Notamacropus eugenii: one gene and its partners. The protein of the gene in region 4 interacts with the protein of the main gene of each other region in a biochemical or structural test. Links are inferred from orthologs where the notes say so. Each region holds a gene or a part of one and is shown on either strand. Other genes may lie near its edges.

Region 1 (7,428 bases), on a different chromosome or scaffold from region 4:
AGCCCTTCCATTTTGTTGGACTAAACGATCTAATTTCTATAATTTTAGGTTATATCTCCTTTAAAAGATTATATGATTCTTAAGGGCAAGGATTATAGGAGATTTAGAATAACTAACACAGTTATAGTACTTCAAAGTTTGCAAAGTACTTTACATATTTTATTTGTGTCACAACAATCCTTTTAAAAAATATTTCCCAATTACATGTAAAAACAACTTCTAACATTCATTTGAAAGAAAAATGAGCTCTAAATTCTCTCTCCCTTACTGCCCTCCTTCCTCCCTGAGAGTGAGAAATTTGATATAAGTTATACATGTGCAATCATGAAAAACATATTTCCGTATTAGTCATGTTTTCAACAATCCTTTAAGATAGTTATGACATTTATTATTATTATCCCCATTTAGCAGATAAGAAACCAAGGTTTCTTAGATTAACTGAGTTGTCCAAAGTCACATCACTAGTAACTGCAATAATCCAGGCTCAGATTATAATAAGAGGAAAGCAAGATTTCCATCTACTTTTCTTTTCAAAGTTTCATATTCTAAACTATTTTCAGTGAGTGTAGGTAGCAAAGACTAGTGCTTGTAATTGTGTTAACTGTGTGTGCACGTATGTGTGTGTGTGTGTATGTGTGTGTGTATAATGTAACTTAATTTTTGTTCTTTGTTTTCACACAATTCCCAGTGGCCATTAGAAAATACAAGCTAAGTTGGTATCTTGAGGTTTTATAAAAGAAAAAGAAAAACCTGACAACTCTAATCATGAAAGAAAATTTAAGAGGTTATTTGAAAGAAAAGTGGCATATTTTCTATCTTCTCAAATGAGAAGCAGGAAGTAATGTCTTTTCCAGGAAGAACAGGGTTAGAGCTGTAGAAACTCATAGAAGTAGGTAAGGCTTTTTAAAAAAAATCTAGGGAGAAAAGAGAACAGGTCAAATTCATTTAATCACTTAATTTTTAAAATTTTGATATGTTTTAACACGTTTACCCAAACAGACCTCTTAATGAAATACTTTCACTGAAAAAGTTATCAATTGTTGACAAAAAGGATATATCTTTTAATTCTGACTGTATGGTACTAACATTATCTGTTGTACTTGTCCAGTTTTATTTTTATTTTTAAACTCTGCATGTTTTTATTTATAGACCTCTTCTTATTTCCCTATAGTGATCCCTTGGTGAACTCTACACCATCCTTTTGAGTTACCATGCCCCAAACCTCAGTCTCCCAACATTTGCTGCTTTTGTTCCTATATACATGCTTCTCAAGAAAATCAGTGCTGACATCTATAGTGCAATTCACTACAAATTTGTTATAGAACCTCAACTGGGCCCTCACTGTTGCAAAGCAATCCTTTTATATCTCCCTAATTAACTCACTATCCCCCTCACCCTAGCAAGTCTTCCAAACTTTTTTTTATTTCTCTTCTTTTCCCTCCTCCCATTCTCTTACCTAAGAACCTTGTCTCATATTTTACTAAAAAAAAAAAAAAATCTTTGAGATCTTCTTCTTCTCCCCTCCTCATTAAACATTGCCCAGATGTCTTCTGTCCCTATCTCCTCTTTTATTCTCTCACATGAGATTGCCCTTCTCCTTGCAAAGGCTAACTTCTCTATATGCAAAAATGATCTATTCCATTCTCCTTTCTTCAGGTTTGTTCCACTCACTTATCTTCAATCTCTCTACTGGCTGCTTCCCTACTGAGTCTTCCCCATCCTCAAAAAACTCCATCCATCCCTAGTCACTATTATCTTATAATTCCCCTTCTTTTGGCAGCTGAACTCCTTGAGAAGGTTATCTACACAATAGATGCCTCCACTGCCTTTATGCTTACTCTTACATTCCTACAGTGTTGCTTCCTTCCAATTTTATCTTTCAAACAAAAGTGCTCTCTCCAACAATCTCTTCAATGCCAAATCTAATGGCCTTTTCTCAGTCCTCATTCTTCTGAACCTCTCTGCAGCCTTGACATTTAATCACCTTCTTTTCTTCTTTTGGGACATTACTCTCTCCTAGTTCTTCTTTTGCCAGACTACTCCTTCTCAGTCTCTTTTGTTTCATTCAGGTAACACACATGAACTACAGGTGTATCACAGGGCTCCATCTGGGGACCCTCTTTTATTTTTCCTCTATACTATTTACCTTGGCTATTTCAGCATCTCCCATGGACCCCATCTTTCTGCTGATGATCCTCATATCTACTTATCCAGTCCTAATCTCTCTACTGACCCCCAGTCTGCATCTCCATGTCCCCTGAACATTCTGAATATTCCATAGACATCTTAAACTTAACATATCCAACACTAAACTCATTAAAGCTCGCTTCAAGTCCTCCCCTCCAACTTCCCTCTTACTGTGAAGAGTACCACCATTATCCCTGTCACCCAGGTTCTCAACCTAAGTGTCATCCTGGACTCCTCAACTCTCTCTCCATCCCCAATTCCCTCCCTGCCCCAATCCAATACTATTGCCAAGAACCGTTACCTCAGTCTTCATAATATTTCTCAAATCCACCCACTTCTCTCTTTTGACACGGCCACCAACCTAGTCCTCAGTTCCTCATGACTGGACTACTGTTCTGCCTGTTACACATCTCTCTCCACTTCAGCCCATCCTCCACTCAGCTGTCAAAGTGATCTTCCTAAAGCATAATTCTGACCATGTCACTCCCCTCCACTCCCCCACTCAATGAACTTCAGTGGCTCTTTATGACTTCCAAGCATAAATATAAAATCCTCAGATCCAAAGCCCTTTTTAATCTGTGGTTCCCTGCCTCTCCTGTCCATTCTAGTTCTTATAATCATTCCTTCCCCACCTCCACCCCCTTGATACTCTGGAATTCAGAGACCCTAGCTTCCTTGCTCTTTTCCAAATGAGATACTCTATCTCCCCGTTCTGGGCATTTTCACTGGCTCTACCTCGTCCCCCTTGCCCCCCACTCCATGCTTACAATGCTTTCTCTCTCCTGTCCCTTGCTCCTTCCTTCTTTTAAGTCTCAGCTAATACCCTACCTTGAACGGAAAACTTTTCCCCATCCCCCTTAATCTAGTACTTTCCCTCCGCTGATCATGTACAATAGATCTTGTCTATAACTTGTTAGTATGTAGTTGTTCGAATGCTGTTTCCCTCATTAGACTGAGTTCCTTGAAAGAAGGGATTTCCCCCCACTTTTTTTTTTTTTTGTATGCTCAGTGCTTAGCAAAGTATCTGACTCACAGCAGCCACTTAATAAACGTTTGGCCGACTTACGAACATTCTTGTACATATAGAGTTGCGGGGTCTTTGTTTTGATTTTTCAGTCAATAACCTGCTTGGAATAATAGTCTCAGTAGGGGATTCTTCTGGGTATTGAAGAATATGAATTTTTCTTGCGTAGCCCCAAATTGTTTTTCAGAATGTTTCAATCAATTCATAGTACCTGACTTCCCACAGTCACATCTTTTTACATCTTTGATAGCTTATTGATACTTCCGGGTTGTTTTAAGTTTAGCTAAATCCCACGAACTATGTGATATGCGACACACACACCCTTAGCTCCCCCATCTTTGAACAGCAACAATTATCCCCTTTTCATTGCTTTGGATTCCTTCAAGCATTTATATGCAGTCTCTATTGAAAATGAAGAAGTTCGAATATTGACTTAGAATTTTCCCCTGGTCATTCATGTATGCCCTGTATCATTGTGAGGGCAGGGATCTTTGCATTTTTCACAGATCGTATATCATCACCACATGGCTTAATACATATTAAATTAAATAAACGGCAAATCAAAATTCTATCCAACAAAATCTTAAGAACTTCAAATTCCTTGGGTCGGCCACGTTGGAGTTGTTTGCAACAAGATTAGACTTTTCCAGGGATACGAAAGAGGCTCAAGGGGTCGGCTAAGACGTTAGCGGCGATTCTGGTGGGTGACTAAGGATGGGCAAGGAGCCCCTTCACGGGCTTTGCCAAGGCAGGGTCCCCGCCACTTCTAGATCTCCGGTGGAGAAGGAAAGCAAAGGCTGGGGGCGCAGGGCGGGCGGACGGGGGGCTGGAGTCGGAACCCCTGCCCAGCCCCCCTCCCCCGTCTCCGCTCGCTGCAGTTTCCAGCCTATGCCCAAACATCTGCAGAGCAGACTCGAGCAGAGCCACGCGCCGGGCGGCCGGCTGCCCACGCTCGGACAGCGCCCGCCTGGGCTGGCAGCCAGCGCTCCGGCCCCAGCGGGCAGGGGGGACAGCCCGGGGCGTCCTCCCCGGGCGCGAGAGGGGGCGCCGCCGGAGCTACGGAGGGGGTGGCGGGGCCCGGGGACGGCTCCATCCAGCACCTCGGACTCAGTCCCCTCCGGCCGCCCCCGCCACGGAGAGTGGTTGGGGCCAGACGGCGGCGGCGCGGCGCAGGAGGAGGAGGGGACCGGCGGGGGCGCGGGCCGCGACAGCCGGCTCCTGGGCGGAGGTGACCCACCCTGGGCCCCTCCCAGCTCTGCCTCTCGGGGGGCCCCCTCCTCCTCCCCTTCCCCCCCTCTGCCTCTCCAGTCTCCCCTCCTCCCTCTCCTTCCCTTCCCTCTCTGTCCCCGCCCTCTTCCTTCCTCTCCTCCCTCCCCCTCCCCCCCTAGGGCGCCATGCGCAGGCTCAGTTCCTGGAGGAAGATGGCGGCCGCGGAGAAGCAGAAACACGACGGGCGGGTGAAGATTGGCCACTACATCCTGGGGGACACGCTGGGGGTCGGCACCTTCGGCAAAGTGAAGGGTGAGAGCCCTGGGGCCGGGCTGTCCCGCTGCCGCGGAGCTGGGGGACTCCCCCCCACCCCCCGTTTCCTCGCATCTCCATCCCTCCACTTTCCCCCTCCCCCCCTCTCCCTCGCGCGCCGGGACCCGGGAAGTCTGGTGCGGCGTCCGGGGGGCAGCCCGGGAGAACCCCCGGTGCCCACCCGGGTCGTCCTGGCCGCGCGGCGGGGCTCGGACCTGGTCCGCCCCGGGCGGCGAGGCCAGATGCTGGGCGCCTGGCCGGAGGTCCGAGTCCCGTGCCGTGGCTTCAGGCAGAGCGAGCCCCAGGGAGGTGGGGGGCCCCCCGGTCCCCGCTGCTTCTCCCCAGATCTCCTCCGTGCCCGGCACTATTTCCGTCCTCTTGACGAGGCGAATGTTCTTGGCTGTCGCCGAGCCAATGAATTAATCCAGGTGACACGAACCCCAGCCTGTTAAGCTTTGGGGGTGCTGTGTAGACCAAGTCACCTGGTCTAGCTGGAGCACCCCTTCTTCAGGGGTCTTGGAACCGCTCCTTCTATTATGATGTATTGCCAGGTCTGTGTTCTGCCTGTATTCTGTGCCTTCAACTGTTTTTGGACAGTCAGCAAGTGTCCTGTATTCCGTGTCTGCCGAAGCTGTTAGCTATTTGGCGTGCTTACCCCAAATAAGGTTTTTAGTTTATTGTAGGTACTAATGACAGCATTTACCATACATGGTGTCATTCACTTTTTGAGAAGCGAAGTATATTTTTTTCAAAGAATTGGAAGAAAAACTGTACCGGAGTTCTCTCTGCCAGTCCTATTTCAACACCATGTTTATGAAATGAAGTATCAAGGAACTTTCCGTCTCCTGTTTTTCACCAAATGCTGAAACATTGCAAAATAGGTGCTGTTTAAACATTTGATATTGGCCACTGGGTAGAGTAATAGAAGAAATAAGGATGGCTTTTATGATAAATAGTGATAGGAAGCTTATTTCCCTTTCCTATAATTTTTCTGTTACAATAGTTTTATGGGTGCAACCTACCTGGTACATAAATGCTCAGTATTTACTGTTTTGATTTGAAAAGTATTTAAAAGTTTGGATGATGAAATAAATAAATAAGTCTTGCTCTTCTAGAGCTAAATAAACATTGTCTGATTTTATCTTGGGAGGGGAGAGGAGAACCCTCCTTTCTCTTGCCCCTTTCTGAGTCATAGAAGTGGAAAGTTGCTGTGTAGCTCACAGGGAGAAACTGCCTAACAGTACTTGTGAAAATCAGCAAGGGCTACAATAAGTTGAATAAATGTAAGAAACTTAAGCAAAATGACAGAATGGGTTAATGATAGTTATTAGGGTGGGTCTCTTTTAGGCTTAGATTTGTGTGATCCTGACTGAATTGTGGCTCTGCTATCAATTAGAGCTTATGTGTTGTTTATTAGTACTCTTAAAAATACTTGTTAGCATCCTAAAAAGATGTTAAACTATCCTTGATTATTTCACCTGAAATTCTTCTTGAATTAACACTAAGATCATTTACCTAACAGAAACATGATTTTTCATTTTGTCATTGTAGAGACACCACCCTGCCTCCCCACCCAAAGATTTCAAACATAGTCATATTCATTTAAGATTTGAAAACAGAGATTGGAAGGCAGAATAAATGAATTGCTCAAGCAACAATTTGTTGTGAATTCAGTGAGATCTTTTTGTTATGATTGGCAGGGTAGAACATCATTGTTAGTGGAAGAGGTCTTCTTGCACATAGTTGGTAGGTGTTAAGTGAATGGAGTGTTAACTTTACTCAAAACTTTTTTTTCCACCTTTAGCTGTCTGGATGATTTTATTTTTTATACAGATAGAACCACTGGAAAAAACATTTTAATCTTGTTTCCTTTATATAAAACTTCACAGTTTGCACAAAGTACTTTTTTGTTGTTGGATCCTTACATCAACTATCTGAGGTAGGTAGTGCAAGTATTGTTCCTATTTTATAGGTGAAAAAACACTGAGGCTTGGGATGTTATGGACCTTATTCCAGGTCAAGGGTAGTATGTTAGTAGTGAGTCACTGAGCCCTGACACAATCACAGATCTTTTCAGATACCAAGGTCAGAGCACTTTGCCTCCCATACCACAGTTTTGAATCTGTTGTTCCTTAAAATTATAATGGCTCTTTTTGTTCTTGATTGCTCAGCCATCAATACCAGTAAGAGATAGTCTTTTAATTTTGTGTGTGTGAGATGTGAATTTCCTGTATTTTTAATTGTTAAAATTTAAATTCCAAGTTAATGATGTTTTACCTGAGACAGTAGATGTTTCCAAATAAAACTAGTTTCTTTTAGGTCAAAATGGATTGACATAGTAAAAATTTTAGATGTTTTGTTTAAAAAATTATATGTACTGGTTCTTGTTTTAAAGTACTTCTTCCCCTCTCCCAGCTTGAGCATAATTGGGTCACCACTCTATTGTCAATGTAAGTAGAAGCATGGGAAAATGGAGGGGAGACACATTTTCAGCACAGGTGCTTGACAAAAATTGCCTTGATTTGGTGCCTAGAAACTATTTTACCTGACATTTATTCCATTTAGAATCACATTCCATCAGATTTTAATCTTTTATAAAATCAAGATCATCCATCTGGTCTAAGGAAAAGCATTTGTTACAATGTTCCAATGCATTTAGACAAAGTTACTTGTGGAAGAGATACAGATAACTTGGT
Region 2 (6,990 bases), on a different chromosome or scaffold from region 4:
CTCAGGAGAAATGATAGAGGGATGAAGGAGCAGAAGCAAAGATTTTTGACCTAGGAAAGAATCTGGAGCCTTAAAGGGAGTTATTGGGGGGAGAACGAGGGGAGGTCGAGATGCAGTGGAACTGAGGCCATAGTGCCTGGTATTTCTCCAAGAGGACTCCACCTTCATCACTGAACCTAGCTTAAACCTTGAAGATATGGGCTCCAGTCACCAGTGAGTGACCTGGGTGGAGCTAGTACCAGCTCAGTGAGGTATGGGGTAAAGAAGGCAGCAGTCAGAAGGTAATCCTCACTCCACCCTAATGGCCCTGCAGGAGTCATCACAGGAGTACAGGCCCTGAACTCAAGTATCTGGGGTCCCAGGTCCTGTTGTTCTGTTCCCCTTCCCCATTTTAGCTCGGCATGTACTAGAGGGGCCCAGGACCAGGTAGAGGAATACAAGCCAGGACTGAGAGACATAGCCCATAGAGAGACAGACCCTATAGACAATGTAGTATGAGGGAACCAAAGTAAAAAAGACCCAGGAGAACTGTGTTCAAACCTTGGCTGTGCTCTTTACTACCTATCTGAATTTGGGCAAATCCCTTCTGTTCTCTGGACCTCTAAAATGAAGTAGCATGGCAGGAGATGTTACCTAAGGTCCTTCTCAGCTTTAATGTTAAAATGTTGGAGCTGAATCAGGGTCCATCTGAAAACAAACTCATTGGACCAGGCCAGAGAGAAATTGATGACTTAACGTCCCACCAGCATTAGCCTAAGTGGCTTTTATGCCAAGGTAAGTGTGGGAGAGGAAGTACCATGTGGAAGTCCATTTAGCCAGGGAGAATAACCCGAAAAAGGGGTGGGAAATTGTTGCTGGGATGCCTAAAGATCCAAGACCAATAAGACAAACAATGATGCTGAGGTTGGCTGTGGGATAGCCCTTTCTGGTTAGTCTTTCCATTGGAGAGGAGCAGCTGTGATAAGTGGCTCTAATCCTCTGCCTTCATGGGGAATTGGCTGGGTCTGCTTTGTGGGACACCCTCGAGTCTGGTAAGTGTGTTTTTCTCTCTGCATATCTGGCTTTGTGTATCTTTGTGAACTAAAGGAGGAAGGGGACCCCCCGAAGAGAAGCCAGAGAATCCTGGGAAATCCTGGGAAAACCTGTGGAGAAGAGAGATAACTTGGGGGCTGTGGGATAGAGGCCTAAAGAGGAAAAGGAGGTGGACAGAGGCCTCTACAGAAAGGAGAGACAATGAGGAAGGGAACCTGAGAGTATGAAGAATGTAACACAGGTGGGAAAGACAGAACCCCTGGTGGTGGGAGTGGAAACCGGGGTTTTGCTCCAGGGTACCACTGATGGTAGAGGGTGCTAACAGCTAACAGCTCTTTTGGTTATTGGACAGTGTAGAAATAACAGAGGTCAGTACTTGGTTAGCAGGAATAAATTAGTCAAGGTTAAGAAGCTTTCAGATGGTGGGCCTGGGTGAGCTCCTCTGGAGTTCATTTGTTTTCTGTGCTTTCCCCAGGTGGAAAAAATTCCTGGGCAAATCTGAAAGGTTGGAGAAGAGCTTGGAGGTTAAAGAAATTCTCCTAACACAGCAGGTATTACTGTCACTATGAACACACAGTCAGGGGTTACTCTCACTCACCCACAAGCACTCATAAAAATCCATTTGGAGGGTTCATCTGAGGGGCCAACATTTCTTCCTTTAATAAAGATGAGAACATATACAGAAAGGCAAATTTTTACCCTTGGGGGGCATATTAACTCAAATGAAAGAGGCCACTTTTACTCAAGGGTCTATGATTTTCTTAAGGTACACTCTTCCTACCAATGACCCAGAACTCAAATCAAGTCTACACTGTGCTAAGTGCTGGAGAGAGCTGGAAAGGCAAAACTAGTCTCTGTCCTTGAGGGGCTCACAATCTAATGGAAGGAGACAATATGAAAAAAACATGTGCAAATAAGATGTGTAAAGGGTAAATTGCAGATAATCTCAAGAGAATTTCTCCATAACTTTGTGGCCATCTTTGAAAATTTTCATCAGCCTGAAGAAGAGATGAGAAAACGCACCTCTCCCTTTCTCCCTTCTTTGGTGACCTGGAGGACTATAGGTGGGGAAATAATTGCAGACTTGGTTGATGTCTTGGCTAGTTTTACCAAGGTTTCCCTTCCTCCCCCTTTGCTATTCCTTGTCACAAGGTATGGCTCAATGGGTAAGAGGATGGAGGGGTATATTCAGAAGATGATGTAAAACAAACAAAAGGTTGCAATACAACTTTTAAAACTGTGGCCAAAATACGCATCTCCCTAGAACCAATCTGGTGATGAGTACCTCTGAACTTAGTGACGCTGGGCTTTGGACAACCAAAGTTAGTTACCAAAAGTCTATACCCTTATTCTTTTAAGTGCTCTTTAGCTTTTTCTCCTAAGTCAGTTTTAGTGGGATCCCTGCAATCTTCAAAGCCTAATTATTAGGTTTAAATGAACAAGATTTGACCTGAAAAGCAGACTTAGCTAGTAAGGCTGGCCCATTCCAAAGGACTGAGGAGCAAAAAATAAACAAACTGAGAACTGTGGAGGAGTAGAAGGGAGTGATGGGATATTGGCTGAAGGGGGAGCATGGCTGATGAAAGTGTAGCAGGAGGAAGAGGGGGAGAAAAGAGGAGAGGGGAGACTGCTATCTTGTTGATCTTGAATCGTAGTGGCCATGGACAGAGCAATTTATTCCCGTTAGGGACCCTACCTTGCTCAAATCCAGAGCAGTGTTAGCCACGATCCAGAGAGGTTCTCCAATCCTTTCTGAGACCAAATAAATGCTAAAGCCCTCTAGGATGGGACTGTTCCGTTCATTATTATAAAGTGAGCAGAGGTGGAGAATTCTCCTGAAGATTGAGCAGATCCTTACGTCTGACAAGAAAACTACCCGCAAGAAATGTTTCCTTTTTGTGGAATTTGCTTCTTTCTCAGAAAAGAGAAGTCTTGCTTTGCTCTGCATAGAGAGAGTGTACCAGGCCCTCTGCCTTCCGCTCCCATACTGAGCTGGGAGATTACAAGGGGACTTGCCAAATGATCCTAGGAAGGGAATCCCTAGGAGATGAAAGGTCAGAAGAAGCAGGTGGGGTAGGGTTGGGAGAGGGGCACAGCCTGAATTATTCCCCAGCTGGGGAGGGTGGATGAAGTCTGAGATAAGAGACTAGCATTGCACGAAGAAAGAAACAGCCCTCAAAATGCCCCAGCAAGTGTATTTTAGAATGATTTAGGGACTGGGTGTGTGTGTGTGAATACAAGTGTGTCAGGGAGTGTGGGGGTACTGAAAAGGAATGGGGAAATGGGCTCGTGGAGACAGGGTGGGTGGGGTTAAGAGGATCTGGACTCTCAGGGACCTTCCTGAAAGATGGTGGGGATTTCTTTCAGGAATTGGTAAAGGAAAAGAAAAGACCTCTGGGAAGGAGAATTTTATACCAGGGAAACCTATCAGGGGATGTCAATGGAGTTAGGGTGAAAGGAGGCCGCAAGGCTGAAGCAGCAGAACTGGAAAAAGGACCTTAAGTTTTAAGTCACATACCAGGCAGCCTGTGATTAGGTACCTTCGGGGAGCAGTTGGCCCCTGTGCAGGACAGGGCTTTCTGATAGAGGACAGATTGGGTGTTATTAGAGGGGAGGGGTAGTGTTAGGAGTATTATCGAGGGATCAGCCTTTCCTCCTGCTTTGGAAACCTAGGAAGTAGGGTACCCCTTCCCCACCCCCTCCCGACACCGTGTAACTCAGGGACTGGCCTGCTCCGAGGCAGAAGGACGGGCCAAACGACCCCTCAAGTCCTTTCCACAGGGTACCGGAGTCTCCAGGCAGGTCCCCTTCCCCCATCCTGCGGCTCCGCCCCCGGACCTCCCACCCGGCGGGGGGCTACTGGGCGGGCGACCCGAGTCCCGGTGGGCCGGAGGAAAAGGAGGGGGTGGAGGAGGCGGGGCGGGGGCGGTGCCGAGCAGGAACCCCAGCCCGAGCCAACCCGAGCCCGATCCCGAACCCGAGCCGGAGCGGGAGCGTAGCTTACCCACCACCGCCGCTTGGTTCCAGCAGCCGCCTGTCTCCTTGCTCCAGCTCCAGCTCCAAGCCTGGACCCGTCCTTGAGGCGGCAGCAATCGCAGCCTCTGGTCCGGTCCGGTCCTGCTTGGTCCGGCCCAGCATGGCAGCAGAGGCCCCTACCCCTGGTCTCAGTGGTTTCCCGGCCCAGTGCAGCGTCCAGCCCCGCCTCTGAAGGACTCCCGACGGAGGTCCCTGGGAGCCAGGCGTCCCTGCCCCCCAGCCCGCTTCCCTTACACTAGTTGAACTGCGGCCCGGACTTCCCGGATTCTCAAGTTCTGCACTTCTCTGCCTCCTTCCGCCGTGCACCCCGATCTCCAGCAACTGAACCCCTCCGCACTGCACTCCGGAGTTCCATCCCCCGGATCCCTCAGCCTTGCCCCCGCCATCCCCCCAGACCTCCCTCCTCCCTCTCTTCCAGCTCTCATCCCCTACCCCCCTTCATTTTCCTCGTACCACATCCTCGGTCCCTCCGGGTCCCAGACCCCCCTAGTCTTGCGACCCCTTCCCGAACTCTCCAGCCCCAGGACCCAGGACTCGGGGTTCCTCACAGTCGCCCCCTCCCCTCCCCTGAGCTCGCGCCCCCAGCGGCGGCGCCATGGCCAAGGACCAACTGCGGCCCCGGCTGTGCCGGATGATCAAGGGGGAGCAGGGCTACGGGTTCCACCTGCACGGAGAGAAGGGCAAGAGTGGCCAATTCATTCGCAAGGTGGAGCCGGGCTCCCCCGCCGAGGCGGCGGCGCTGCGCGCTGGGGATCGGCTGGTGGAGGTGAATGGGGTCAACGTGGAGAAGGAGACGCATCTCCAGGTGGGCCCGAGATTGTGTGCCTGTGGGTGTGTGTGATGGACACAGAGGGTCCATCCTGTGTCTGTGTGATCGAACTACTCTTGTACGAGCCTGTGTTGTCATACCGTGATTGTGTCAAGGTTCAATAATGTGATATTGCGTGCCTGTGTGACACTGTGTTTATATGGTGATACGCTCTGTATCTATATGTGTATTACTAGGGGATATTGTATGTCCTTGTGGAGGTCTGGAAGGGAGCAAGGGGAAATTGTCAGGAGCTGGGAGGGTGATATAGTATGTGTAGCTAGCCAGCTCTGTGTGATTGTGTGGGTCACTATTTTGATGATGAATTCCCGGCTGTATCTATATTTGATGTAAAATACTGTATCCAGGTGATACTATATATAGCCATATATGACACGGTGTAGCTGTATATGACTGTGACACTGTGTGTAGCTAAGTGTAGCTGTGACTGCATTATATTGTATCCATGTGATATCATGTATAGTTAGCTATGTAAACAGTGTATCGTGTGATACCATGTGTGACCTTGTGTGATAATCCACCACATATAGACATACAGACACTGTGTGATGCTATATATGTATATACTACGGGACGCTGTAGATCTGCATGACCCTGTACTAGTATGTTACATTATATATGACACTGTGTGATACTGTAGATCTATGTGTGACAGTGTGATGTGACAATGTGTATAACTGTGACACTATCTGTATATGACTGTAAGACTTTTCTTGTCTATTCACACTCTGTATCTGTGTTTGGGTGTCAGAGACTGTGTTGAACACTGAGAAAGACATTGTTGTCCTCAAATCTAATCCAGCTCACAGCTCTCTCTAGCATCCGCCTGGGGAAAGTCTCCCTGTATGAGGAAGAGAAAAGTATCAGGAATCAGGAAATACCTGTCCCTAGGATGGGTGTCCTAGCCACTGTCAGTGGGTCCTGGAGATGGGGGTCCTTGTCCTGCAACTTGGCTCTGTTTGGAGAGGAGAGCTCTTGGGTTTGGACTGTAGGCTCTCCTGGCACCATGACTCATTAGTAAGGTAGGGGTAGTACAGTTCTCTGTAGATTGTGTTTCCCATGTGTATGTATGTTTGTATCTGTGTGTGTATTTTTGAAGAGGATATATGGGTGTATGAACACTAGACTTGGATTCAGGAGCTCTTGTTTTGTTATTTACTAACTGGGTGACCTTGGGTAAACAGTTTATCTCCCTGTTTATCTGTAAAATGGGGATGATAATGTTAGGACTTCTGGCCTCACGGGAATGTCATGAGGAAAGATTTGCAAGCTGTTTTATCTTAGTTTTTCCTGGTTGTGTGCACAGTGTGTGTATATGTGTGCTTATTTCAATATATGTGAGACAATGTATTATATAGTCTAATCTTTAGCTCCGAAGCTAAAGCTCCAGACACACACCCTGGGACTGCAGCTGGGGCCTTATACTTTTGCTTGCTCTGTCTTGGCAAACTGCAGCAATCTTAGGCAGGGCAGGGGTGGGGTTGGGCTCTGTGTGCATCTCTCCATCAGTCCTAAGGGAGAGAAGGTTGGGTAAGGGGCTTGCCTTATAGAATCAAAGAATGATGAAACAACTGGGGGGTATTTGACTTGGAGAAGAGAAGACTGGGGTAGGGATCAGGAGAGCCCCTTTCAAGTATCTGAAGGGCTGTCATATGGAAGAAAAATTAGACTAGATAGATCTGTTTGGCTCTAAAAGTACCAGGGCAATGGGTAGAAATTGTAGAAGCAGAATTTACAGAAGCAAAGTTAGCCTTGAATAAAGGAAAAACTGCCTAACAATGAGAGCTGTGGCAAAGTCAGTGGGCTAACTCTAGTGGAAGGCTTTAAATAGACTAGATGACTACTTGTCCATTGTGGTGTGGTGGCCTTGTATCTCTGGTATGGGATTGGATTGAGTGGCTGATGGGGTTCCTTCCAGCTCTGAAATTCTGTGATTGTAGGATTTAAGAACCGGAAAAGGACTTAGAGACCATGTAGTCCAGTAGTTTCCTACCTTTTTTTTGTATGGAGGACACTCTTGGCAGTCTGGTAAAAACCTCTTATTAACTGACCTCGTCTCAGAACAATGTTTTTAAATGCTGAAAATAAATAGG
Region 3 (7,418 bases), on a different chromosome or scaffold from region 4:
TATGGGAATGGAAGCTCCTTTCACATGCCTGGAGGGGATAGGTAGATAATGGCTTAGGTGCATGCCCACCCCTACTCTCCCCACCCACCACTCTCATCCCATACTATCCATGGTTCCCCACTCACCAAGCTGGCCATTGGGGCCTTTCTCTTCCCGAAGCAAGAACCCAAAGCCCTGGGGCCCTTTTTCTAGATGCAGCTGGCGTGGCCAAGCAGGCAGTGTCCAGCCTTCAGCCAAGGGGGCAGCCAGGGGTAAGCCCAGCTGACGACATTGTTCTTCCACTTCTGGCCCTGCCACAAGGAGGGCCACCTGCTCCCCGCTCTGCCGAAGCTGTGGGGACCCCCAGACCAGGAATAAATACCCACTGACCACAGAGTAGCTCAAGGCAGATGCTTCCCCAGAATCCTCTCCTCCCAAACACAGGAAAAGAGGCATTGAGGGTGGCTGGGTCACCATGCAGCCCTGGCACAGTGAAAGGATAGGAATAGAAGGGACCTGGTATGAACCTTCAAAGGAGGGGTCAAGGAACAGCATAGGATCATACATCTAGAGTTAGAAGGCACCTCAGACACCATCTAGTTCAAATCCTTCATCTTACAGATGAGAAAACAGAAACCCAGGGAAATTGTGACTTCTAAAATTACACAGGTGGTATACATCATAACTAGGATCTGAACCCAGGTCCTCTGACTGCAGAACCAGTGTGCTTCTAATTATAACATCAAAAGCACATCCTCCAAAGGTGAGGTGAGAGTAATTGAGCATGAGAATAGATGACAGAAGGAGATATCTCAGAGGCAGAAATCCTTTACCCTTTTTCCCACTTCCCCCATCTACGGATGTGCTGACTGAAAGGAGAAGATAGGACTTCAGGATATCCAAATGGAAAGTAGAAAAGGCAGAAGAAGAGGCTCTGTACCTTTCTGCTGAGCTGACTATTTGAGAAACTCTCCACACTGATCCCATTGACTTCCAGCAACCGAGCCCCCTGGGGTACCCCAGCCCTCTCTGCGGCACCTCCACAACTCAAAATCAACCAGAAAAAGCCCCTCTCTCCTGGGAACAGAGAACAGGGTTTAGTCTGCTGTCTGCCCAGGAAATTGTGAGAGAGTCTTCTCCTTGTCTGCCTGCCTCCCCCCACTCAAATCCTTAGAACCAGTTCACACCGTGGGTGACACTAAAGCCAAAGCCACCCTCATCTTTCGCCACGTGACACAGCCGAGGTCGGACACTAGAATCCAGGACAGGACAGAGAGGGGCACCACTGCCATTAGCCTGATGAGCACGAGAAACCTCCTCGACATTCCCCGACAATACTATCAGCAGTACCCGGGGACCACTTGCACGGATTCGACGTATCACCTGAGCAGGGAAGGAATCATGGGAGCTCCTGAAGGAAAGTCCCTCAGGAGATCCATATCTGGGCATATTCCCATTTAAATAGCCTCATTTCTTCCTGAGAATACCACTTGTCTCTAGGTCTTCCCCCAAACTCCTCTCTTCCCCTAGTCATTTCTTGTGCTAGAAAGAGAGAACTCAATGGTGCTTAGACAACACACACTACTCTAGTGAGTGACCAGCCTGCCCTCAGTAACCCATAACAGGGTTACATCACCAACACTGACCTAGACAACCTTACCCCACTGTAGTCCTCATGCTCCACAATGTCCCCATTGACCCCCAGGATTCGATCTCCATCCTGAAGCCCTTGGCGCTGAGCAGAAGTGCCTGGTTCCACCTTTCGGACTATGTGCCCAGTCTGGCCCAGTTCCTTATGTAGGCAGAAGCCAAATTTCCCCCCCTCATCTTTGCTTAGCAGACAGAAACGGGGGTGCTGAAGGCCCCAGGAATCTGTCAGAGAAAGAGAGGCCAGACTTAAAGTTCAAGGAAGGGCAGTTTATCACCATAGGCACTGTGATTATTCTATCTCTCAGAGGACACCACTTTCCCTTCTAGGGCACAGGTCAAAAATATCCCCATAGGAGAAAGGAACTGGAAACAGAGGAGAATAAAGTAAACCACACATGTGTGGTGAGAGTACCTATCACATATAGGACAGGGTTCAGGGGACCCTAATGGTATGGGGATGAGGAAGAACTGGCAAGGGCCCCAGAACTGACTGGGTGTTCTCAGGTTGATGGAAGAGGGTGATTGCTACGGAGATGGGGGTGTTTGGGGAAAAGCTGGGATACTTTTCATTTGAAGGGAATAGATGAATGTTGGGTTCAGAGAAAATTACCAAGGTGGTCATGGTCATCAGCTAATGAGAGTGCAGGATTATCAATCCCCAACTTCGGGTTAAATGTAAACTTCCTGTAAAGAGGCAGGTGGAAAGGATAGTACCATCCTGGGCACTGTGCCCAAGTCAAGTTTCACCAGAGCCCCACCCCAAGCTAAAACCATCCCTTTTCTCTTGGTCCCAACCCACCCCCACCCCCACTAAACACAAGAGAAGCAATACTCCCTATCTCCTTTTCCTTTCTTCCATCCTCAACATAGAGGAGAAGGGAGGACATCTCCTCTTTCCTCTTTACGGAACTCACAGATTTAATGTGGCTGTATCCTGGAGATCTGGAGGGGAAAGAGTAGGGTGAAGGCAAGGAACACACATGCCCTTACCAATTCTGGATTATACCACCAGAATGATCTTTGTTGTCTGAATCCCATTCCCATACAGGTTGCCCCTTTGCCCTCTAGCTCCTTCTCTAACCCTAGGATCCCTGGCGCAGATCTATGAGTAGAGATACACATAGAATGTGAATGGAGCAAATATCCTGTCATAATTACTTCCTCCCGATACCCACACCTTGACCACTAATTCCAAGGTATCAGGCTCCCCATTTTCAGTATCCCCCACCATGGTCCCCTCCTTAAGGGGCACTTCATTATGCTCTCTACCTGCTGCTGCTTCCATGTCTGGGCCGAGTGTTCAGGGTAGGGACAAGGTCCACCACAAGCAGCTGACCCTCCTTTCCTTCCCCAAGTCCCGCCTCCTTTAAGACACTGTTGCCTGAGGTAATGGTTAACTGAGGAGAACCTTGCCTCTAGGGAAGTGAAGAACTTTCTCCCATTTGCCAATGTTCAATCAGCTTCAGGAGTCTCCCTCTGGTCCATTCTGGGTATTCCAAACCAAGAGGTACAGGTACTATTGTTCTGAGCCTAAAGACAAAGTTGAGATGAACAACACCAGCCCTGCAGCAAATCATAGGCTATCCTTTCTCCAAATGATCCCCCTTAGACTCCCAAAACCTGTTGGCACCCATACTTGAATAACATCTAAGTCATGAAACCACTCACAACTGAAACAGACAGGAAGGGAGACAGGTGAGTTAGTTCAACCCTCCACCAACAGGGCCAGGCCCTCTGCTTTGAGCAGATTGTTGGAGACAGTAGAAGGAGAGAGAGATATGGGAAACTGATACTCCTTCTTGCCCCAGAACTCTGAAGGGAGACCACGCAGTGAGTAGTAGAGCTTACTTGGTTATTTACTGAGAACCATCCCCAGGGTCATTTCTGGGCTCAGCTAGCAATACAGTTTTTTTTATTTTTTATTTTTTCCAAGGAAGAAAAGACCATAGCATCAGATAGAAGACACATGTTTTTGTTTTTAATGGCAGCAAATCAGGGCACTTAATTTCTAGGAGCCACCAAACTTCATTATGAATCTGAGAAAAGCAAATAAGGAGAAGGTACCGATGGAAAATGACCCCTGTGGGCCCCCTTGGCATCCATAAAGAGTACTTGATCTGGCACAGGATGAAGGGAGGGGGCAGTATGGGCAGGTAGATGGTCACTGTCTTCACAACTAAACTAAGTGATCTCTCCAGAAACAAGGGGCAAGCATGGGCCACATCAAGTGGGGGTGGCTGAGATGATGGTCAACTTTCATACCCTAATTATCAGGGATAGTGGAAGAAAGTAACTTGGCTCCTCAAAATGCTAAGGCAGAGTCCATCCTATTCCATTGCTGACATGCCTCCCCCAACAAAATGAGAGCAAGCAAGTCCCCCAGTATAGCAACAATTTCATGGCTGTGATCTGGGTTCCCCAGATTTTAGGGAGCACAGGTGGAATCTGCCGTGTCAGAACAGTGCTGTGACCACTCCCTCGTCATCCCAAGTCCTGAAGAAGCCCTCTCAACTCAGAAAAGGATCTCTCCACCACCATACGTAGAGGCTGACAAGGGATAAGGGGGCGGGTGCTAAGGACCAGGATGACTCTGTGCCTCTTGCCTGCCTCAGCTCCCTGGGCTACCTAAATGCTCCAGCAGAGATTTGACTTCTCCCTCCACCCGCAGCAACTGGGCTTTGCGCCAGGGATTGAGGGTGGCACTCCGGCTGTCTTCCAAGTCTCGCAGTAGCATGGAAAGGTGGCGCTGGACTCGGCCCCGCTCCCAGCTCTTCAAGTTGCGCTGAATTTCACCCAGGATGACAGACCAGTGCTCTGACACAGCTGTGCCTTCGGTCAACGATGCCACTACTCGGGCCCTTCCAGTGGTAGCACCTTCTAGCTCCCGTAGTCTCTTCCGGCCCTCTGGGCTCAGCTCATTGAAATAAAGGCTAGTGAGGAAAGGGGAAACAGAAGGGGTGATTCATCAGGAGGCACAGTGGGAAAGGCAAAGTAGGTAATAATGGAGAAAGGAGAGCAAAGCAACCAGAGGCAGTAGAGAAGGGAGAATAACTAATTAGAAGTGAGAGATGAGAGAATGGTGGCCAAAGGGGGCTTAAGGGTAGCCACAAGGTACAGTGTAGACCAGATCCAGTTTGGGAACCAGGCAGCTAAGACTTTAAGGGAAACAATGGTGGAAGAAAGAAAGATTGGGACCACTTACAAAAGGGTCAAGTTGGAGTAGGGACCAGAAGAGTTTAAATTATAGACATTAATCAAAAGATGTGAAGACTGAGAGGGAACTTCTACACATGCAGGTCTCAAGGTTAGCTGATCTAAAAAGGAAAGTGGGAAGAGTGTCTGGCCTTAAAAAGATGGAAGCTGAGCCCAAGACTAGGGGAAGAAGGGAACGAATGATCACTTACTGTAACAGCTCCAGGGAGGGGTGTTCTCTGGCAGCCCTGGCCAGGACAAGGGCTGCTGCATCACTTGCTCCATTATAGGCCACATTCAGCTCCCGGAGCTGTTGGTTTCGTTCCAGGTGGGTAGCCAGCAGCTCCAGGCCTTCATCTGCAAGCCCAGTATGCAGCAGAGACAGGTGAGTCAAAGAAGTGTTCCCACTCAGCCCTTCTACCAAGAGGGCCAGTCCTGGTGCTGTGAGTGGGTTGTTGGAGAGACTGCAGTAGAAGAAAGGAGAGATATAGGAAAATGATACACCCTCCTGCCTCAGAATTCTGAGGAGTGGAGCCAACAACATTTACCAAGAACCAACACCAAGTCCATCCCTAGGAGAGATAGTAATACAAGTGTCCTCCCCTTCACATAACATTGTTATTCAGGTGAAATCTGCTTAGCAGCACAGGACTTAGAGCTGAAAGAGATCTGAGATCATCTAGTCAAGAAGTTAATTTTTTTTTGTAATGGACCCTTGGGGTAGTCTGGTGAAATGTGGGTGCCCCTTCTCACAGCAACACTGTGCAATGATCAGCTGTGACAGACTCAGCTCTTCTCAGCAATACAACGATCCAAGACAATCCCAAAAGACTCATGATGGAAAATGCTCTCCACATCCAGAGAAATAACTGTGGAATCTGAATGCAGATCAAAGCATGCTATTCTCACTTTACTTATCTTTTTTGTATTTTTTTCCCTTTTGTTCTGTTTTTCTTTCACAACATGACTAATATGGAAATGGATGTAATGTATCACCTATATCAGATTGTTTGCTGTCTTGGGGAAGGAGGGAGGGAGGGAGAAAGAAAAATTTGGAAATCAAAACCTTATAAAAGTGAATGCTGAAAAGCTATCTTTACATGTAATTGGAAAAAACATAAACACTATTAAATGGGAAAAATAAATTTTAAAAGGATGGGTTTTAAATGCATAAAACAAAATACATAAGATTACAAAGAAAACCACTTATATTGAAGCAGTTATAAATTTATTTTTTAAAACCAAGTTCACAGATACTAAAGTAAAAAGCCTTAATCTAATTCAACCATCTAATTTTACAGATGAGGAAACTGAGGTTCAGGTGGGAAGAAACAGCTTGCTCATAATCACACAGACACTAAACAGCAGAACCAGAATTTGAACCAGGTCCTTTGATGCCAGACATAGTGCTCTTTCTGCTACACCAGTGGTGTCAAACTCAAATAGAAACCAGAGCCGCTAATCCATATATAAGGATCCTCGCAGGTGTATATTGACTTAGCCATAAAATGCCATGTTATCTATGTTTTATTGTATTTTTATTTATTTTGTTAAATATTTATGAATCACATTTTAATTGGCTTCAGGTGCTTCTCATTTTTTTTCTCCAATTTCCAGAGTCCTTGGCTCTGCTGCCTGCCACCCTGAGACTTCCCAGACAGTGAATCCTTTATTCATTAAGAGCAGCTTTAAAAAAGAAACCAATGGAAGACGCCATAAAAGAGTCATGTGAGACTTATATATGGTAGAGAGGAGGCAGATGCAGCTAAATTAGAAGAGAATCAGGTAACTGGGGGGAAGTCTTTGCAGCAACTCTCTAGTAAAGGTCTCAGCTGAGGACAAGCTAGGGGGTACAGTGGGTACAGTGGGTAGAGCAATAGGCCTAGACTCAAGAAGACCTGAGTTCAAATCTAGCTTCAGATACTTACTAGCTGTGTGACCCTAGGCAAGTCACTTAACCTCTGTGCCTCAGTTTCCTAAGCTGTAAATCGGGGGTAATAATAGCACCTACCTCTCAGGGTTGTTGTGAGGACCAAGTGAGATATTTGTAAAGTACTTAGTACATTGTCTGGCACATGGTAGATGCTATATTAAAACTTTGTTATTCAGTTGTGTCCAATTCTTCAATGACCCCATGAATTATAACACACCAAGCCCTTCTGTTCTCTAGTATGTCAAGAAGTATGTCCAATTCTGTCAGCTTTCCTTATAGCCCAACTCTCACAGCTACACATTTTTACTGGGAAAACCATAGTTTTGACTATATGGACCTTTGTCCATACAGTAACATCTCTGCTTTTTAGTATACTGTCCAGATTTGCCATAGATTTCCTTCCAAGGAAGGAGTGTCTTTTAGTTTCATGCAGTTGCTGTCTGCAGTGATCTTTGAGCCCAAGAGTATAAAATCTGACCATGTTTCCATTTCTTCTCCCTCTATTTGTCAAAAAATGATGGGACCAATTGCCATGATCTTAGTTTTCTGTTTTATTTTCTTTATGTTAAGCTTCAAGGAGCTTTTATACTCTCCTTTTTTATCCTCATCAACAGACTTCTTAATTTTTCTTCACTTTCTGCTATCAGAGTGAATTTATCTATAT
Region 4 (7,128 bases):
AGAAGGAATAATAGAAAATATACAGATAAACCTAATACAAATCAAAGCAATAAAGCCTAGGTAGGAAGTTAGTGAAGAGATAACAACAGAAAGACTGCTAGGTTACTTCTTATAGTTTGATGATTTTTTTCTTCATAATATTTACCTTCACCTAAATAACAGAAAAAGGTGATATTAAAAGTAAAAACCTGCTCTCACATCCACAGGAGGGAGCTCTCCTTCAGTGGTTTGCCCTCATTTAAAATTCCCCTGACACATACATAAAATTAAATATTAGGAAGGGTGATACAAGGTGGATATGAGAATAAACATTCCCCCCTCTAAAATGCATATTCACACATATATACACATATACACTAAGTACTATATATAGATATACATTCATATTTGATTTGCTTTTGGTTATCAAATTCTGTTAATGTTTGAATAAAAGGTTTTGGAAAATTGAGTAAGATAACTTCCATCAAAGTAGTTGTATTTATTATTTCATTGAGGAAAAAGTGAAAATGAAAGAGAGCAACTGAACATCCATCTTAGAAGTACTTTTCATCTGAAATAGAGCTATTTAGTTAAACTCTAAGACTATAAACCTAAAACTTAGCATTAAAAACCCTTACTAAATGATACTTCCAACTTTCATAGCTTATCTCACACACAAGAACAAAAGAATAATTTATTAAATATTAGTTGGATATACCTACAATTCAGTATATTGCTCTGCCCGTTCCTGTTTCCATGGAAACAATGAACTCTTCTCCAATTCATGAGTAGCATAACTAAGCTTTCCCCATGTTAGAAACTGGAATAATTTTCTTTCATTATTCAAAAGACAAATGTACTTTGAGGCAAACAGAATTTCCTCTGTCAAAGAAAAGTTTTCCTCCTCATCACCATCAAAAAAAGATGTGTTTAATTCAATATTCTTCCTCAAATGGCAGTACACAATGTCTTAGCTGCATTTGCAACAAAATAGATATGGGAGTTTTTGAAATCTCTAAATATGTAAAGGAGAAATATCTTAATCATTAGTTATTAACCACTTGGTAAATAACTTTCCTTTGGAAAAATCAAAGACGCTAACCATAGGGTAAGTCAGTGTTTAAGTAGCTCCTTTGAATTTTAGCTTCTAACAGATACTGCATTATTAAAAACAGTTAAAAAAGGGCCATAGATAGATTTCAGATCCATGAACTTGGATAGGAAAATAATTACATCTTTAATTTCACTAATGTATATGAATAACATTTCCTTAAATTATTCAAAAATCTTAATTTGAGAACAGGTCCATAAGCTTCACCAGACTGCGAAATGGATCCAAGAGAGAGAGACAGAGAGACAGAGAGAAAGAGAGAGAGACAGAGACAGAGACAGAGACAGAGAGAGAGAGACAGAGACAGAGAGAGAAACACAGAGAGAGAGATAGTTAGGAAACCCAGGTTTATAGGGTCTTGCAACTAGGGGAGCTCACCTAACTGTTCTCAATACACATGCATTTCTGCTAGCCTGCTTTCACGTTGTTTTTTTTAATCTCCCTTCTCATTTCAGCTGTCTCTAGGTAGAAAAATGAACCTTTCTTAGAGAAACACTCAAAGGTTATACTTCACAATAAACAAATTAAAAAACAATGCCTTTAGACCCAAACCCCTGGTACAAACCTGCACACTCCCCTCTTCCCTCAGGCACATGTCATTACCACGGATGACTAGCAAGACGTTTACCTGAAGAAAAGTTTCGAGAGGACATTTGCCTGTTCCAGGGGTGATCTCTGCATGATCCCTCGGGGGCTGCCGGGGTGCCCTGCAGGAGTAGACTGCAGTGGTGACTCTTAATTGCCAAACTCTCCGACCCAGTCCACTCTGTTCCTGCTGCCTTCTCTCTCCCCACCTTATTCACTTGGGTTGCTGTGATGTCATGTACCACCTCCTACAGACTCCCCCCACCCATCTCTCTCCTTGCCAGCCCCCTTACACCTCTTTCCCCTTTCCCCTCCTCCTCCCCGGATGCCCAGGTTAAAAGGCGAGCCACAGGCAGTCCAGCTTCACATTCGCCCCGGCTGCTTTTTCCCCACCCCACTCCACACTTCCCCTTTCTCTAGTGGCTTCTGAGCCTCCCGCCTTTCCCGCCCCCTAATTCTCTACTCCGCCTCCCTTGCCCCCAGCGGGCTCTTTCCCAGACCGAGAATTACCTCTTCTTCGCTACCTTGCACCTCCAGTGCAGTCCGAGATCTTGGCACATTCTCTGCGTCTTCCCCCTTCTCTCCGAAGCTCCCGGGGGCAATACGAAGCAAAGTTAGGGCAAATAATCAGTCGCTTGGGAAAACTTGTAGAGCACTCTTACTCGCCCAGTTTCCTTGGTACTAAGGACAGGTTACTTGCCAGTTTCCCTAGGCTTCTACCTGCCTCTCCTCCTACTCCTCCTCTTCCTCTTCTCTAAAATCCTTTGCCAATTATTATTAATCGTGGTGCATTTTGGAAAAAAAAAAAAGCCACAAAAATAGGTCTCTACCTGTTCTAAAATGCAGGCTTATGGAGCTGAAAGGTTCCTGTGGGGGTGTTTGGTGTGTTGATGTTAATGAGTTTCTTTACCAAAAAAAAAAAAAAAAAACGAGCCTTTTTTTGCTTCAGACTTTCAAGGGAAGATTCAAAAGTCTTTAGCAACCCAATTTGGAAAAATTGCTTATTTAAAAAGGAAAATCCTCCTCCGAAGTAGGTGTAGATTTGGTTCTGTTGCCCCCCCCTCAGATCTGTTCATGGCTCGTCAGTTTCCAGCAGCCTTGGTTGGCAGTCTCTCTCCATATCCACGGTTACTCACTGCACTAGGTAAACGTACCTGTCCTCCGTCAGATTTCTCAGTTCACTTTCTGTAAGCAAAACCTGACTGACCCTGAAAGCAATCAAACGTCTTTGAAGCGCAAACTCGGCACAACTTTGCCAGGGATCCTGAAAGAAAAAAAATACATGGAAGAAATCACAATTCTTCACTTTTAGGAAGTTCTCGAAAGCATTGTACTGCCTTGAGTTCTGATGCGTGAGTTCCTTTCCTTGTCTTTCTTTCTTCCTTCCTTTTATAAATTTTTTTTAAAGTGCCAAGCACACCTTTGGTAAATTCTCCAAAGGTATTGTTAAAAAAAAAAAAAAAGGTACGCACTGACATTTGAGTTGAACAAATTGGAATGGGAGAAAGTTTGTTGAGTATTATTTGTGTTGTTTCTTCAGCAAATTTGTTTACTTTGAAATTATTGGATTGTTGATTTACATATATCCCAGTGAAGTATGGCTATAATCTTCATTGTATAATGCCAGTGAAGGAATTAGTCATATGTATTTAAAATAATGAATGCATGGTTTACATTTCAATAATACCCTTTTTCTTCTTAAATCTTAAAGTGTTTTTACAAAGGAGTATCATTGTATTTTTTTGCCAGCTGGGAAAATAACAGATTAATATTCATATAAAGTCAGACACCAAATCAGCAGCGGAGACAAAAATGGGGTCAATATTTCTGACTCCTATTCCCTTGCTAAACTTCTCAAGCAGGCTTTCCCTCCCTCCAGTAAGAGTTCCTGGACATAAACTTTGAAGCTATATTTTTACTATTTACTTTTCCCAGGTATGTCAATTGGGCTCATTAAATGCCCTTTTCACCCTCTCTGGCTGTTTACTTTACAACTAAGTGTGACCCACCATGTGTACTGCACAAGTTTCAAAACCGACAAGTATACAGTTCCTCTTGGCTGCCAAGGAGCAAGTGATAATAAAGGAATTAGGAATATTGATTCAAAAGAGATTCATAGAAGTTGACTAAGTAGAAGAAATAAAAGAGACCAATTTCAACAAACATGCATCACTCCCAATACTACATTAAAATGTATTATGGTAGGCACTCTGAATACAAAGATGAAAATGTCATAGTCCTTAGCCTTGAGGAGCTTACATTTTACTGGGATTGAGGGGGTATTCAATATAAGTACATAATTAAGTATAATTCAAGGCAAGGAGTGATAGGAGCAAAGAAGACATTGGGACAAAATGTTTTAAGCATTTTGGAGGAGATATCTGAAGTGATCAGGGAAGGCAAAAAGGAGTAGGTGACTATGCCAGTTGAGTATGGAAGCCAGAAAAGGAATCTGAAATGAGTGGCTGAGAAGAGGAAGAATTGCATCCCAGTCATATCAGGGTGAGAGGGAGGAGGATGGAGGCAATAGATGATGGCTCTCCACTTCTGTGAACACCTAATAATCCAGTTTGGCTGGAATGTAATGTTTGAAGGAAAGTAGCATAAAATAATGTGGGAAAGGTAGAGTGGAGCCAGATTATGGAAGGCCTTAAACTCCAAGCAGAAGTGTTTGTATTTATCTTATCCTAGAGACAAGGTAAGCACTGAAAAGTTTTTAAGGAGAGGGCCAGGGCAAGTCTGTTCCTTAGGAAGACTACCGTTGTTGTTGTTGTTGTTTGTCCTGACATCAGGAAGATGATGTCCTGACTTGCAAGTGAATAGGTTTTAAGAAAGGCAGAACTGTGCAAAGTCCCCAGCCTCACTGTCTCCTCCAGAGTCATCTGGGTCTAGTGGCAAGATATAGATCAGGATGATTGGAGATGGCCCTGGATTCAGTGGGAGACCTTGGCCTTTTTCAGCTAAGGGCTTTCCCAGGTCTGTTTGTCTGAGGCAGCACTCATTCAGTGATTAAGGAAGACTATTAAAGGCAGCTGTGTGAAGGATGGATGGAAGATAATCCATCTTCCAACAGGAGAACTATTGCAATAATTCAGATAAAGGGTGCTAAGACCCTGAACTAGAGAGGTAGTCATGTGAATGGGGAAAATGAGATCAAAACAAGCGAGGTTTAAGGTAGAATGAACATGAGTTAGCCACCAGTAGAACATGAGGATTAAAGGAGAGGGATGAATCAAATATGACTAAGGTTTTGAACTTGGACATGTGGAAAGATGGTAGTATCATCAGTAACAATCTAATTAAATCTAATCTAATCCCCTTCCTCTGATCAATTCTGCAATAAAACCATCCTTCCTCTTTTGCCTAGTCATAGGATCACAGGCTCTCAGAGTTGGGTGAGATTCCAGAAACTATCTAATCCAATTCATCCCTGAACTAGAATCTCCCCTACAACATCCTTGACAAAAACAGAAAACTAATGTTTCCATAAGACCTTAAACTCACTTGATTTAAACTCATTTAAACTCACTTGATTCTCACAATAATCCTGTGAGATAAGGGGCACAATTATTATTAGAGGCTGCTAGGTCAATATATAGACCACGAGAGTTGGAATCAGGAAGACCTAAGTTAAAATACCTCTTCAAATGCTTACTTAGGGGTGTGACTCTGGGCAAGTCACTTAATCTCTGTCTATCTCAGTTTCCTCATCTGTAAAATGGGAGTAACAATAGCAGCTCCATCCCAGGAGTTGTTATGAGGACCAAATGAAGTAATATTTGCAAAGTATAAATGTTAAAGCACCATATAAATGCTAGCTATTATTTTTTTTATCATTTTACAAATTAAAAAACAAAACTGAAAGAGGGTGGGAGAATTTAAATAACTTATCCAGGATCACACAGTTTGAGATGTATTTGAACGGAGATCTCCCTGACTCCAAGTCTAGGGCTCATACTAGAGATTATATTAGCTAACTGGAGATATGCAGCCTGTTCTAGAATAATTCTCATTAAGAGGAATTTGCACTTTAATTCATTTTACTTTTGGATAGCATTAATTAACAGGAAATAGTTCCTTATATTAAGCCTAAATCTCTGGAGTTCCCATTTTCCCCTTCCTTACCTCCTTTCCTCTCCCTCACCATCATTCACAAGCATACATATACTCCCTTCTTGCATCTATACAATTATATAGGGAAAATGCAAGCTATGAAAAAGCTTTGGAATAATCTCGTCCAATCTTCTCATTTTACAGATGGCATTTGATTTGAGAACTCATCAAAGAAACAATGTCAGCCATCACAAAATAAAAATAATTAAGTGAGTCACCAGAGGTATTTGGATTTGAATATTGATAAATTAGATTAGATTATGCTATTTTTCTCCCAGTTATTCTCATTCTAATCTTTTATCTATGTCATAAAATATTACATAAAAATGAACCAAATTTGGACAGTGTGACATTCTTGTAAACATCAATAGCATAAGACAGGGATGCTCTAGTGAACTAATTGTGACATCAGGAGGTTGAATTACTCTTTGAAAGTCAAATTTACCTGTGTGCAGGGGATATATAAAGCCTTATGCTCTATGTAGCTGTCAAACTGTGGTTTCTTGGCTTGACTCAGGCTCTTGACCAAGATACTGAGACTCAAAATAGCCCTGAGCACTAAGAAGTAGAACAGAGACTAATCCTAGAATGGTGGAACTGGTCATTAATTATCTTTCTCCACTGAAATTGCCATTTGTAAGACCAGATAAAGAATTCCTGGAGATAGGTTCCAAAGGCAGTAGAAACAGAGACATCTAGACAAATAAAACTTAATCCAGAGTCCTTAGGGGACACATTCATATAATTTACATCTTTGGTCAGTTAGGTTCTGATTGATCAAGAAGTAAGCCAAGGCTTTAGGAAGCTTCACATTTTTACTCATTCCTAGTGGTCCACATTGTCATGGAACTAGAGAGAATGTTAACACCTTTAATGTGGCATTTCACCCTTAAAGTAAACATTTCCCAGTGCATATGCAAAGTTTACCTGCTAGGCAGACTCACAGGACATCAGAGTCGAAAGAATCTCAAAAATGATCTAGCCCAACCTGTACTGAATAAGAATCCTCTCTACAACATAAGCAGGTATAATAATGATTTAATGATTGACATTTATATAGGCCTTTAAGGTTTGAAACATACTTAACATACATTATCTTGTATGTACATGTGAAGAGAAGACCCTCCACACCTCCAAAAATACCTCAGGGAGCCTAAAATTCTATAAGTAGAGATTTGTTCCTTCAGAAGAGGGATCACATATGCTTTATTAGTCATTTACATCTTCATTCCAAGTCAACAAACAGTGATGAAGAGCCTACTATGAAAAAGATCATTGAGTCCGCCAGATCCTTTCCTAAGAACGAGTTTTAATTTGAGGTGAGAGGGAACAAACAGAGG

Evidence for each region.
Region 1: the proteins of CFTR (region 4) and PRKAA1 form a complex in vitro, tested with the Homo sapiens proteins (2 studies listed by BioGRID, with this or other methods). The link is inferred for Notamacropus eugenii from reciprocal best matches to the Homo sapiens genes CFTR and PRKAA1.
Region 2: the proteins of CFTR (region 4) and NHERF2 form a complex in vitro, tested with the Homo sapiens proteins (4 studies listed by BioGRID and IntAct, with this or other methods). The link is inferred for Notamacropus eugenii from reciprocal best matches to the Homo sapiens genes CFTR and NHERF2.
Region 3: the proteins of CFTR (region 4) and NHERF4 form a complex in vitro, tested with the Homo sapiens proteins (2 studies listed by BioGRID and IntAct, with this or other methods). The link is inferred for Notamacropus eugenii from reciprocal best matches to the Homo sapiens genes CFTR and NHERF4.

Annotation. Positions count from the first base shown.
Region 1 is NC_092875.1:419,373,478-419,380,905, forward strand, and holds the start of PRKAA1 (5'-AMP-activated protein kinase catalytic subunit alpha-1), read left to right. Parts: upstream 1-4,410; 5' UTR 4,411-4,605; coding exon 4,606-4,732; intron 4,733-7,428. UniProt on the Homo sapiens protein: Catalytic subunit of AMP-activated protein kinase (AMPK), an energy sensor protein kinase that plays a key role in regulating cellular energy metabolism.
Region 2 is NC_092872.1:48,222,523-48,229,512, reverse strand, and holds the start of NHERF2 (Na(+)/H(+) exchange regulatory cofactor NHE-RF2), read left to right. Parts: upstream 1-3,974; 5' UTR 3,975-4,663; coding exon 4,664-4,873; intron 4,874-6,990.
Region 3 is NC_092876.1:279,616,348-279,623,765, forward strand, and holds the start of NHERF4 (Na(+)/H(+) exchange regulatory cofactor NHE-RF4), read right to left. Parts: upstream 3,016-7,418; 5' UTR 2,915-3,015; coding exon 2,899-2,914; intron 2,572-2,898; coding exon 2,544-2,571; intron 2,314-2,543; coding exon 2,240-2,313; intron 1,852-2,239; coding exon 1,640-1,851; intron 1,363-1,639; coding exon 1,167-1,362; intron 1,057-1,166; coding exon 920-1,056; intron 331-919; coding exon 126-330; intron 1-125. Other genes in the region: NLRX1 (NLR family member X1), read right to left, coding at 4,238-4,559, 5,034-5,285.
Region 4 is NC_092874.1:135,437,112-135,444,239, forward strand, and holds the start of CFTR (cystic fibrosis transmembrane conductance regulator), read right to left. Parts: upstream 3,023-7,128; 5' UTR 2,186-3,022; intron 1,950-2,185; exon of another isoform or gene 1,798-1,949; 5' UTR 1,772-1,797; coding exon 1,719-1,771; intron 1-1,718. UniProt on the Homo sapiens protein: Epithelial ion channel that plays an important role in the regulation of epithelial ion and water transport and fluid homeostasis. Mediates the transport of chloride ions across the cell membrane.